Xenopus tropicalis: one gene and its partners. The protein of the gene in region 1 interacts with the protein of each later gene in a biochemical or structural test. Links are inferred from orthologs where the notes say so. Each region holds a gene or a part of one and is shown in the gene's direction. Other genes may lie near its edges. The genes, in order: gsk3b, lrp6 and eif2b5.

The links.
Region 2: of the proteins of gsk3b (region 1) and lrp6, one has a biochemical effect on the other in vitro, tested with the Homo sapiens proteins (2 studies listed by BioGRID, with this or other methods). The link is inferred for Xenopus tropicalis from reciprocal best matches to the Homo sapiens genes GSK3B and LRP6.
Region 3: of the proteins of gsk3b (region 1) and eif2b5, one has a biochemical effect on the other in vitro, tested with the Homo sapiens proteins (2 studies listed by BioGRID and IntAct). The link is inferred for Xenopus tropicalis from reciprocal best matches to the Homo sapiens genes GSK3B and EIF2B5.

What each region holds. Positions count from the first base shown.
Region 1 is NC_030678.2:1,861,742-1,865,495, forward strand, and holds the start of gsk3b (glycogen synthase kinase-3 beta), read left to right. Parts: upstream 1-1,095; 5' UTR 1,096-3,254; coding exon 3,255-3,342; intron 3,343-3,754. UniProt on the Homo sapiens protein: Constitutively active protein kinase that acts as a negative regulator in the hormonal control of glucose homeostasis, Wnt signaling and regulation of transcription factors and microtubules, by phosphorylating and inactivating glycogen synthase (GYS1 or GYS2), EIF2B, CTNNB1/beta-catenin, APC, AXIN1, DPYSL2/CRMP2, JUN, NFATC1/NFATC, MAPT/TAU and MACF1.
Region 2 is NC_030679.2:8,234,074-8,237,727, reverse strand, and holds part of lrp6 (low-density lipoprotein receptor-related protein 6), read left to right. Parts: intron 1-976; coding exon 977-1,373; intron 1,374-1,646; coding exon 1,647-1,818; intron 1,819-3,654. UniProt on the Homo sapiens protein: Component of the Wnt-Fzd-LRP5-LRP6 complex that triggers beta-catenin signaling through inducing aggregation of receptor-ligand complexes into ribosome-sized signalosomes.
Region 3 is NC_030681.2:100,214,422-100,218,075, reverse strand, and holds part of eif2b5 (translation initiation factor eIF-2B subunit epsilon), read left to right. Parts: intron 1-1,975; coding exon 1,976-2,121; intron 2,122-3,099; coding exon 3,100-3,238; intron 3,239-3,654. UniProt on the Homo sapiens protein: Acts as a component of the translation initiation factor 2B (eIF2B) complex, which catalyzes the exchange of GDP for GTP on eukaryotic initiation factor 2 (eIF2) gamma subunit.

The sequences.
Region 1 (3,754 bases):
AACGACTGCGCCCATTACAGTCGTTATAATTCGATTGTTTGGCCCCAGGGCCAAATGACCAAACAGGGCTGGAACTAGGGGTGGGCAGAAGAGGCAGCTGCGTAGGGCGCAACGATTGAGGGGCCTGCCTACCCCTAGTGCTACTTTGTCATTGCCTCCACCGCTTGTCATTAGCGGCAGAGGCAATGACCAATCTAATCATATCGCCCCCCCCTGCACCTCCTCCTGTGCTTTGGTGCGCATGCGCCGTTCGGGGGGGGGGGCGGGGAGGTGGGCGGAGTTGGCCGACCGGGTTGCCTAGGGCGCTCAGTCGGCTTGGCCCGCCCCTGCAACCAAATGAGCCTAAATTCCCCTAAGGGTGGGCAATATCGGGAGAAGATCTGCTCGCTTGGTGACCTCGCCAACAGTCTCTCCTCACAACCTTCTCTGGGGCCTGGGTGCAAGTAAAGGACCCCTCCTGCCCCCCTTTGGTTTCAGCCATTTTCCTCCTTATGGCACAAGTACCCAAGCACACCGGCTCCACTATGGGGGGGTAAAACCACACAGCAGCCCCTCCCATATGATCCACCATGGGATTTCAGAGATCTGGCAAATGTTAGGGATCTGTAACAAGGAACAAATAGGAATATATGACAGGAAGGATGTGCCCACACACACAAATACCCCCCCACTCTGACTGAACACGGGGCCGGGGCTCAGACCTCATATCCGTGCCCCATAATATCCCAGTTACCACAGAAACCCACATTTCAACCAGCTGATATAATACATGAATAATAAGAGTTAAAAGGTCACACTTCCGGTGTCTTAACAAGGATTGACAACGCCTACTTCCGCCCGTTCCTTGCAGCAACAGCTGCTCCTGCCTACCAATAGACGGTCGTCTCTTATTTCTGCCTCGCCTCTCCTTTTATCTCTAGGCTAGGCCTGGTTAAGAAGACGGACAATTTCTTTAGCCAATCAGAGTCAAGCAGACAACGGCAGGAGGCGGAGATTGCAAAAATAAACGTGTCATTGGAGAAGCTGGGTAACATGATGGCCAATCATAAAGCAGTATCTATAAAACGCCAGCCATTGAGAAAGGAGGGGGGGGAAAGCGCTGAGTAGTGACTGAGAAGCTCGATAATTGGTTAGCTACGTCGTCTTCTCTGCCCCCCCTCTCGCCAATCCGTGTAGTTGATTGGTTTCCATGGGCTGGTGAGTGATGCGGGCGGAGCAAACCGAGATCAGAACGTCATGAAGGAACTGGCGAAGGCCCGCCCCCTCCCTTGCCCGTATTCTCAGAGCAGAGTTACTCAGTTTCGCTAGCGTGCGGCTCGTTGGACGCGTGGTGCGCTACGTCATTGAGCAGAGAGGGAGGAGAGGATTGCGGGGAAAAAGACCGACTGGCAAATGCGGTCAGTCGGACGGAGAGTGACAAAGGGAAAGAGACCGAGCTGGAAGCGGTTACCGGACACGGATACGGTGGAGATTACCTTATTTTAACGCCCTGCGCAAGGGATTCTGGGACAGTACCGACCCGAGGTCCAACGGGAACCGAATTTCTCTGCCCGGTGATTTTATCCTGCGCCGCAGCTTCCGCCCGGGAACCCACCCCCGGCCCTGACAGCAAGTGCCCGGCTCCCTGGGCCCACAACTCCGCTCTCTCCGCCCTCTCTCTGCCCGCCCTGTGTGAGAGGCGCCATGGCCTCAGCCTGTGCCCAAGCCCCGCTCCCTGCCCGCCATTAACCCCACCTGCCCCGGCTAATACCCCTACTGGGGCAACATCTGGGCTACTACCCGGCCCTGGGGCGAGATTTGCCCTTTACCCACGCACTTCCATAATTACCCCTAGGGCAACATCTGAGACATCCAGCTGCCCCTGCTAATACCCCCATTGGAGCAGTGAGACATCCAGTTGCCCCTGTTAATACCCCCATTGGAGCAGTGAGACATCCAGCTGCCCCTGCTAATACCCCCATTGGAGCAGTGAGACATCCAGCTGCCCCTGCTAATACCCCCATTGGAGCAGTGAGACACCCAGCTGCCCCTGTTAATACCCCCATTGGAGCAGTGAGACACCCAGCTGCCCCTGCTAATACCCCCATTGGAGCAGTGAGACATCCAGCTGCCCCTGCTAATACCCCCATTGGAGCAGTGAGACATCCAGTTGCCCCTGCTAATACCCCCATTGGAGCAGTGAGACATCCAGTTGCCCCTGCTAATACCCCCATTGGAGCAGTGAGACATCCAGTTGCCCCTGCTAATACCCCCATTGGAGCAGTGAGACATCCAGTTGCCCCTGCTAATACCCCCATTGGAGCAGTGAGACATCCAGCTGCCCCTGCTAATACCCCCATTGGAGCAGTGAGACATCCAGTTGCCCCTGCTAATACCCCCATTGGAGCAGTGAGACATCCAGTTGCCCCTGCTAATACCCCCATTGGAGCAGTGAGACATCCAGCTGCCCCTGCTAATACCCCCATTGGAGCAGTGAGACATCCAGCTGCCCCTGCTAATACCCCCATTGGAGCAGTGAGACATCCAGTTGCCCCTGCTAATACCCCCATTGGAGCAGTGAGCTTCCCACCCCCATCGGATCAATATCTCGGCTTTGCGACTGAAACCTTTGCCTGAGACCCTGTCAAGGGCAATATTGTGCCACAAGTGGGGCAAAATCACAGATTCCTGGGGGCAACTGTCCTTATTCCCCCCCCAGACGACGTATGACCAGATCCTCCTAGTTCTGCCGCTTTCCCACTAGAGCAGAACCTGCCCTGTTGCCCTGCCTGTGGTGCAGTATTGTTGCAGTACCACTTGAAACTGCCCTTAATACTTGAAGTATTGCCCCTGCAGGCACAAGCTTTGGGCAACAGCCTCCGGAACCTGCTCTGTGTGGCTCCAACCCTTCAATCCATCGCTAAGGAGCAGTAGCCCTGTTACCCCCCGAGCGTCACCTGTGGCCCCGGCAGTGACAATCCCGTGGCCCTTGCGCCTGTGACTAAACCACTGATTCCCGGCTACATGGCCTACTGACACCCCGGCTGCCATATTGTGTGCCCGACTGGAGCCCGAGGGATGGTCTATAAATAGTGATCGTCGGAGGGGAAAGGTGACAATACAGAGGTGGGGGAGAGGGACCACCGCGCCGGGTAGGCCCCACTGCTTTCGGTAAGGGCTGAGAAGCTTATTGTGCGCCGGGGCCTTGATGGTCTTGCCCTCCATCTGGCTTTGATCTACAAGAGAGAAGGAGGTGAGGGAGGAGCCGGAGAATCATGTCGGGGAGGCCGAGAACCACTTCCTTTGCAGAGAGCTGCAAACCCGTGCAGCAACCGTCATCTTTTGGCAGCATGAAAGTCAGCCGTGAGTATCCCTTTGTAGCACCGTGCCCGTGTGTGCCGTAACTCCCCGTAACCCCCCCCCCCCAGTGTGAAGCAGAGGAAACCCGGCTACAATAAGGGGAAATGTGCCCAATAAAGCTGCACTCACGCCCTCATCCTGCATGTAAACCGATCCCACTGAATTACCCCTAATACCGTAAGGGCCTCGCGCAATTAGGAGTTATTTTTGGATTTTACTGAGGTCCACCGAGATGCCAGTCTGGGATTAGGGATGTCACTCAGTCGCCAACGAGGAGTTTGGCCGTGACGCCCGTCCCTGGGAGTCTGTGCAGAGGTCTCCTCCCCGGATGGTCTGCAGAACCCACAACTCTCTGCATTGAGAGATATTGCACTCACTTACTGTTATTTCAGCAAAGTGTTGGGCTCCAACGGGT
Region 2 (3,654 bases), on another chromosome or scaffold:
TAAACCCAATAGGGCTGTTCTGCCCCAATAAGGGGTAATTATATCTTAGTTGGGATCAAGTACAGGTACTGTTTTATTAATACAGGTATAGGACCCGTTATCCAGAATGCTCGGGACCAAGGGTATTCCGGATAAGGGGTCTTTCCGTAATTTGGATCTCCATACCTTAAGTCTACTAAAGAATCAATAAAACATTAATTAAACCCTATGGGATTGTTTTGCATCCAATAAGCATTATTTATATCTTAGTTGGGATCAATTACATGGAACTGTTTTATTATTACAGAGAAAAGGGAATCATTTAACCATTAAATAAACCCAATAGGGCTGTTCTGCCCCAATAAGGGGTAATTATATCTTAGTTGGGATCAAGTACAGGTACTGTTTTATTATTACAGAGAAAAAGGAAATCAGTTTTAAAATTCTGAATAATTTGATTAAAATGGAGTCTATGGGAGAGAGGCATTCCGTAATTCGGAGCTTTCTGGATAACGGGTTTCCGGATAAGGGATCCCATACCTGTACAGAGAAAAAGGAAATCAATTTTAAAAATCTGAATTATTTGATTAAAATGGAGACAGGCTTTCCGTAATTCGGAGCTTTCTTGATATCGAGTTTCCGGATAAGGGATTCCATACCTGTACAAAGCTGAAGGTCTTCAATTTTTATTTGTTTATAGTTTTTTCAAATGGAGTTCACTGACCCCGGCAGCGAGGCTACATTTTTTTTTTATTGCTGTTGTTACTTTTTATTACTTATATTTCTATTTAGACCCTCCTCTAATGATATTGCTATCTCTATTTGAAACCGCTGCCTGGTTGCTAGATTAAATTGACCCTAGCAACTAGTTAGCTGCTGCAATTACAAACTAACAGAAAGCTAAACTGCCAAAATAAAAATGAAGAATTGAATGAATGAATTTTAAAATAACATGTATCTTGAGTTGAACTTTTGCATCTCTTTGCCATTTGTGTAGGTGCTACAGAGTTGCTGCTGCTTGTCCGCAGGACGGACCTCAGGCGAATATCGCTGGACACTCCGGACTTCACAGATATTGTTTTGCCACTGGACGATATTCGCCACGCTATTGCCATTGACTATGATCCTGTAGAAGGGTACATTTACTGGACGGACGACGAGGTGAGAGCCATACGCCGCACACAGATCGATGGCTCTTCCAGTCAATACATTGTCACCTCCCAAGTGGCCCATCCGGATGGTATCGCTGTTGATTGGGTGGCTCGGAACTTGTACTGGACCGACACGGGGACGGACCGCATTGAAGTCACTCGGCTGAATGGGACTATGCGCAAGATCCTCATATCCGAGGACCTGGATGAACCACGAGCCATAGTGCTAGATCCTATGAATGGGTACGATTTATTTATTTTTTTCCCCCTTTACCAACCAAGGAATACCCCATAGCTTATAGCACCCATACAACATCAGTGGTTTTTGTATACCGAAAGCCCTATAGGTACTAGAACAGTGTTGCATGTATGTTTTATTATTACAGAGAAAAAGGATATATTTTTTTTTAAAATGGAGTCTATGGGACATAGATTTGGATCTTTCTGGATAACTGGTTTCCAGAGAAAGGGTTCCAAACCTGAATAATAAAATAATATACTTTTTTTTTTATATAGGTACATGTATTGGACTGATTGGGGAGAAATCCCTAAAATTGAGCGTGCTGCAATGGATGGCTCAGACAGGATTATATTAGTGAACACCTCACTTGGTTGGCCCAATGGTCTGGCACTGGATTATGCAGAAGGGAAAATCTACTGGGGAGATGCCAAGACCGATAAGATAGAGGTGGGTCCAAGTTTCGTACAAAATGACGAGACTTTGTTATATAAAATATTTTACTTCTTAAAGGGTTAGTGCTTGAATTAAGCTGGCCATACACACCGATAGTATCGTACAAAACCGTGTTTCGTACATTATTCAGTGTGTGTTTGACGGATTGACGAGACAACCAATAATGCAAGGATTTTGGATATTGGTCGTCTTGTCGATCGGACGGGATAAAAGATTTTGATCGTGCACCGTTGAAGGCACCTGAGCAGAATTTGCGTTTAGGGCTGAATTGTCAGGTGGAGGTATAATCCATATTGTTTCTACCTCTGTATCTGACAATTCAGCCCTGATCTTTCCTGCCACCATTGGTCACAGGAAAGATGGTTCGTTCCCTCCATTGACATTCAGGTATGTATGGCCACCTTTATTTAGATATTTGTTCAGCAGCTCACCAGTTTGAAATTTCTGCAGCTGTCTGGTTGCTAGGCTGTCGTTTACCCTAGCAACCAGACACTACTGTAATTGAGAGACTGGAAGACGAACACAGAGGGGCTGAAAAGAACTTTATAAAATTGTAGAATTACAGTGCTTTTCTTTATCTCTTTGCTTTTGGGGTCAGATACCTGTACGAACACTGGAAAGAGGCAGTACATCAGCAAGCCTTTCTTAGGGTTTTACAATACTACTGGGGGTTCTGTTTTGATACTACAGGTATAGGACCCGTTATCCAGAATGCTTGGGACCATGGGTGTTCCTGATAAGGGGTCTTTCCTTAATTTGGATCTCCATACCTTGTCTACTAAAAAATCAATAAAACATTAATTAAACCCAATAGGACTATTCTGCCCAAATAAGGGGTAATTATATCTTAGTTGGGATCAAGTACAGGTACTGTTTTATTATTACAGAGAAAAGGGAATCATTTAACCATTAAATAAACCCAATAGGGCTGTTCTGCCCCCAATAAGAGGTAATTATATCTTAGTTGGGATCAAGTACAGGTACTGTTTTATTATTACAGAGAAAAGGGAATCATTTAACCATTAAATAAACCCAATAGGGCTGTTCTGCCCCCAATAAGGGGTAATTATATCTTAGTTGGGATCAAGTACAGGTACTGTTTTATTATTACAGAGAAAAGGGAATAATTTAACCATTAAATAAACCCAATAGGGCTGTTCTGCCCCCAATAAGGGATAATTATATCTTAGTTGGGATCAAGTACAGGTACTGTTTTATTATTACAGAGAAAAGGGAATCATTTAACCATTAAATAAACCCAATAGGGCTGTTCTGCCCCCAATAAGGGGTAATTATATCTTAGTTGGGATCAAGTACAGGTACTGTTTTATTATTACAGAGAAAAGGGAATCATTTAACCATTAAATAAACCCAATAGGGCTGTTCTGCCCCAATAAGGGGTAATTATATCTTAGTTGGGATCAAGTACAGGTACTGTTTTGTTATTACAGAGAAAAGGGAATCATTTAACCATTAAATAAACCCAATAGGGCTGTTCTGCCCCAATAAGGGGTAATTATATCTTAGTTGGAATCAAGTACAGGTACTGTTTTATTATTACAGAGAAAAGGGAAATCAGTTTAAAAAATCTGAATTATTTGATTATAATGGAGTCTATGGGAGACGGACTTTCCGTAATTCGGAGCTTTTCTGGATAACAGGTTTCCGAATAAGGGATCCCATACCTGTATTAGCATTAACCCGAATGGCTCTTTGTTTATTTTCTGCCACTAATGGAAGCCTTTAGCCCTTCCCTATTGCTGAGTGGCACATACCCAAGGTGCTCGCTGTGAGTGCAATAAAAGGCCCGGCGTGGGGAAGCTGCCTTAA
Region 3 (3,654 bases), on another chromosome or scaffold:
ACACGATTCTGGAACGAAATTGAATTGCAGTGGAAAGAATATGCAGTAAAGGCTAAGATCCAGTGAGGACGAAAAAACTGAATAAATTCAAGCTGGTACCCTGAAACACAACTATAATAAATCTGAATGCAGAAAAAGACCCAGATTATTTCCCAAACTTCTAATATAAAAAACCCTACATTTAATAAAGCCCAATACAGTATAAGTACTTCTAATAAATGATATGTCCCCCTAAAATTATACATACTGTTAAGTAGAATTCTAGTTCTACAATGCATTTTTTTCTTTACATAAGCTTTGTGGTACAGGGACTGGTTATAACTTACACCTAGAAGGCAGAACACTATGGTACAAAGAAACTCATTCTCTACAGCTTTCTTCAATTTTGCATACTTTGGGTTATAATGGTTTTTACTATCTGTTGGTGAAATCTTTTTGTGATGAAACCAGTGCAGGTGTTGTATCCCTTATTAGGGGAACCTGTTCCACCAGCTCCAAATTACAGGAAGGACATTTTCTCATAGTCTATTTTAAGCAAATAATACAAATTTTAAAAATGATTTCCCTTTTCTCTATAAAAAAATAAAACAGTGCTTGTACTTGATCTTAGCTATGCTGTTTTTTAAAATGTAAGCAGTGGCAAAAGATGCATAAAGTCTAGACTCCTCTTGAAAAAATTAAATTGACCCGTAATAAGGGAAAAACTACGTAAGAACTAAAATTGTTGTATTCTATACAGCTTATCTGTTATTTACTATGTAAACGCAAGCATTTTGCCATATTTAACTTGAATGGTTGCTCCCCATGACTTCATATTGACTTATTTATATAATCTGAAGCAAACACAGTTTTTACCAGTGCAGAGCAATGGTGCATTATATTTAAATGAATATTAAACTATTTAATTCTTTAATCTTTCCTACCTTCTATTCCCCTTATCAGCATTACAGTACAGCAGGGGTCCCCCAACCTTTTTAGCACCGCGGCCCGGCGGTTGGGGACCCCTGCAGTACAGGTATGGGATCCCTTATCCAGAAACCTGTTATCCATAAAGTTCCGAATTATGGGAAGGCCATCTCCCATAGACTTCATGTTAATCAAATAATTCACGTTTTAAAATATGATTGCCTTTTTCTCTGTAATAATAAAACAGTACTTGCACTTAATCTTAAGTAAGCTAGTATTAATCCTTATTTGAGGCAAAACAATCCTGCTGGGTTTATTTAATTTTTAAATTATTTTTTATTTTTTTTTAGCAGACTTAAAGTATGGAACTCCAAATTTCAGAATGACCCTTTATCTGGAAAACCCCAGGTCCCAAGTATTCTGGGTAATAGATCTCATACCTGCACCTCTAGTCACTCGCGACAAATCTCCCTTGTTGCGGGCGACTAATCTCCCCGATATGACATTGAGGCAGCTTCAGCGATTTCCGCAAATCGCGTTTACATTTACATTTTCGCCGGTGGGATGGGAATTCGGAGAGATTAGTCGCCCGCGACAAATCTCCCTTCTTGCGGGCGACTAATCTCCCCTATATGACATCCCACTGGCGAAAATGTAAATCGGCGGTGGAATGGCATACACGGCGAACCTCTCGAGGCAACTTCCGCAAATCGTGTCGCTGCGTATGCCTTCCCACCGGGGATTTACATTTTCACCGGTGGGATGGCAATTCGGGGAGATTTGACGCGGGCGACTAATCTCCCCGTGTGCCAGAGCCCTTAGGGGTGAAGACACACGGAGCTACTAGTAGCAGCTCCTTTTTTACAGCTACTAAACTCCAGAAGATACCCTGCCATATACAGTACTGAGACTTGCCTCTGTTAAAACGCACAAAGAGACAATTATCGACAAGTACTTAAACAATTATAATACACCATAAACTAAAATGTTATTATTTATGTTATTATATATGTTATTTTTTTTTCTTCATTTTTTTTAATTAATTAAAAAATTTTTTTTTTTTTTGAAGGAGACAGAGTAGTTCTAGAGAATGTACATGTCTGGGATAGAGTTCACATTGAAGATGATGTTACTATCAAAAATTCCATAATTTGTAATGATGTTGTTGTGAAGAAAAGGGTGCAGATAAATCCTTACTGCGTGTTGACGTCAAAGGTAATAAAGACTGATTGATAAGAAGAGGTTGGCCCTGTATGTGTCCAAAACCACAGCCTTCCTACCCCCTGTCCAAAATATATTGGGTAGGTTTAAAAATCCTGAATTGCGTAGTGGGAGGTCCACATAGGCCTTTTTGTTGCATATTCCCCAGACAGAACTACTAAGGGCTCTGTTACAAAATGACCATTGGTCTGGGCCAGATGATCAGATTAGCCGCATCTGGCCCACTGCCTGAGTGACCAGATATTTCAAGGATCCACTTAGTGTTTTCATGACCTGGCAAAATAAGTTAGAGCTGCCTGGTTAATTTAAAAGTAAATCAGTTTAAGCATCAGATGATTCTTTTAGTTACATTTGTTAGCATAAAATTGCATTAGTCTTTGCTTGTGGTTCTATTCTTTTAAAGCCTTAGAAAATATTTCTCTACACGCAAAACCAATGAGAAAGTAATTGCACTTAAAGGGGACCTGTCACCATAAGAAATAACTCCAACTTATTTTCTATATTGTTAGTTGAGCAAAATAAACTTTACTTACTCTATATAAATAATATAAATCGTGTTTCTTTCTGTCTTGGAATTACTCATTCAAAGCAAGCAGGCAGCCACCATTTTGTGGACACTGTTATGAAGGCAAGCTGTGTATCATGCCAAAATCTTGTTTATGTGCCAGAAAGGGGGACCAGATGTCCATGGCCTTGCACTGGCTACACAATTAGATGATGAGCAGGGAGGGGAAAAGTGAGATGTGCAGTGACATCTAGGTAGTGCTGAACAGAAAGCTAAAGTTATTGTCTGCCCCACCTCTATGCCTAAGGCATAGAGGCGGGGCAAGCAATATATGATTGATAACTGGGATTTTTAAATGCCTTTATAATGGGTTTGGATGTGTTAATATAAAAATGAATTTGGATTTTATGTTTAATTTGAAAAGGGCTTTTATTATAGGATTTCCATTATTCTTTTCTCTCTCATAGGTAGTGATTGGTCCTGATATACAACTGCCTGAAAGTACAGTTATTTCTCTTCATCATCCTGAAGAGGATGAAAATGATGATGATGAGTTTAGTGATGATGCAGGAGCTGGAAAACAGGCAGAAAGAATGAAGGTCAAAGGTACTGTGACATCTCTCTGCTTAGTAGGCATCTCTACTGCTACAGATACCAATAGCTATTAAGTATGTGAGCAGAAAGTAGAGGGTCTTGGTGGGTGGGTAAGTTGCTGAGTGCTTATGTTATAAGCTTGAATGAAAAGGTGAGTTTTAAGTGACCTTTAAAAAGCCTGGAGGTTCTGAGAGTGTTTAATGGAAGAGATATATAAGTGTGGCAGCAGTGTTCATAAAGGATTGGAGTGGGGTTAGTCTCTTGTGTGAGGAAAGTGGATTGTGTATAATGTTCCTAAGGTGAAAGTGATATGATGTAGGGTTCATTTGAATGTGGGGAATAAATAAGATGTACTGGGGTTGTATTGTTGTTTTCCATACTGACTGTGGATATCAGGCAGAAAAGCAGAGTTGGAAGGGAAGTAGACC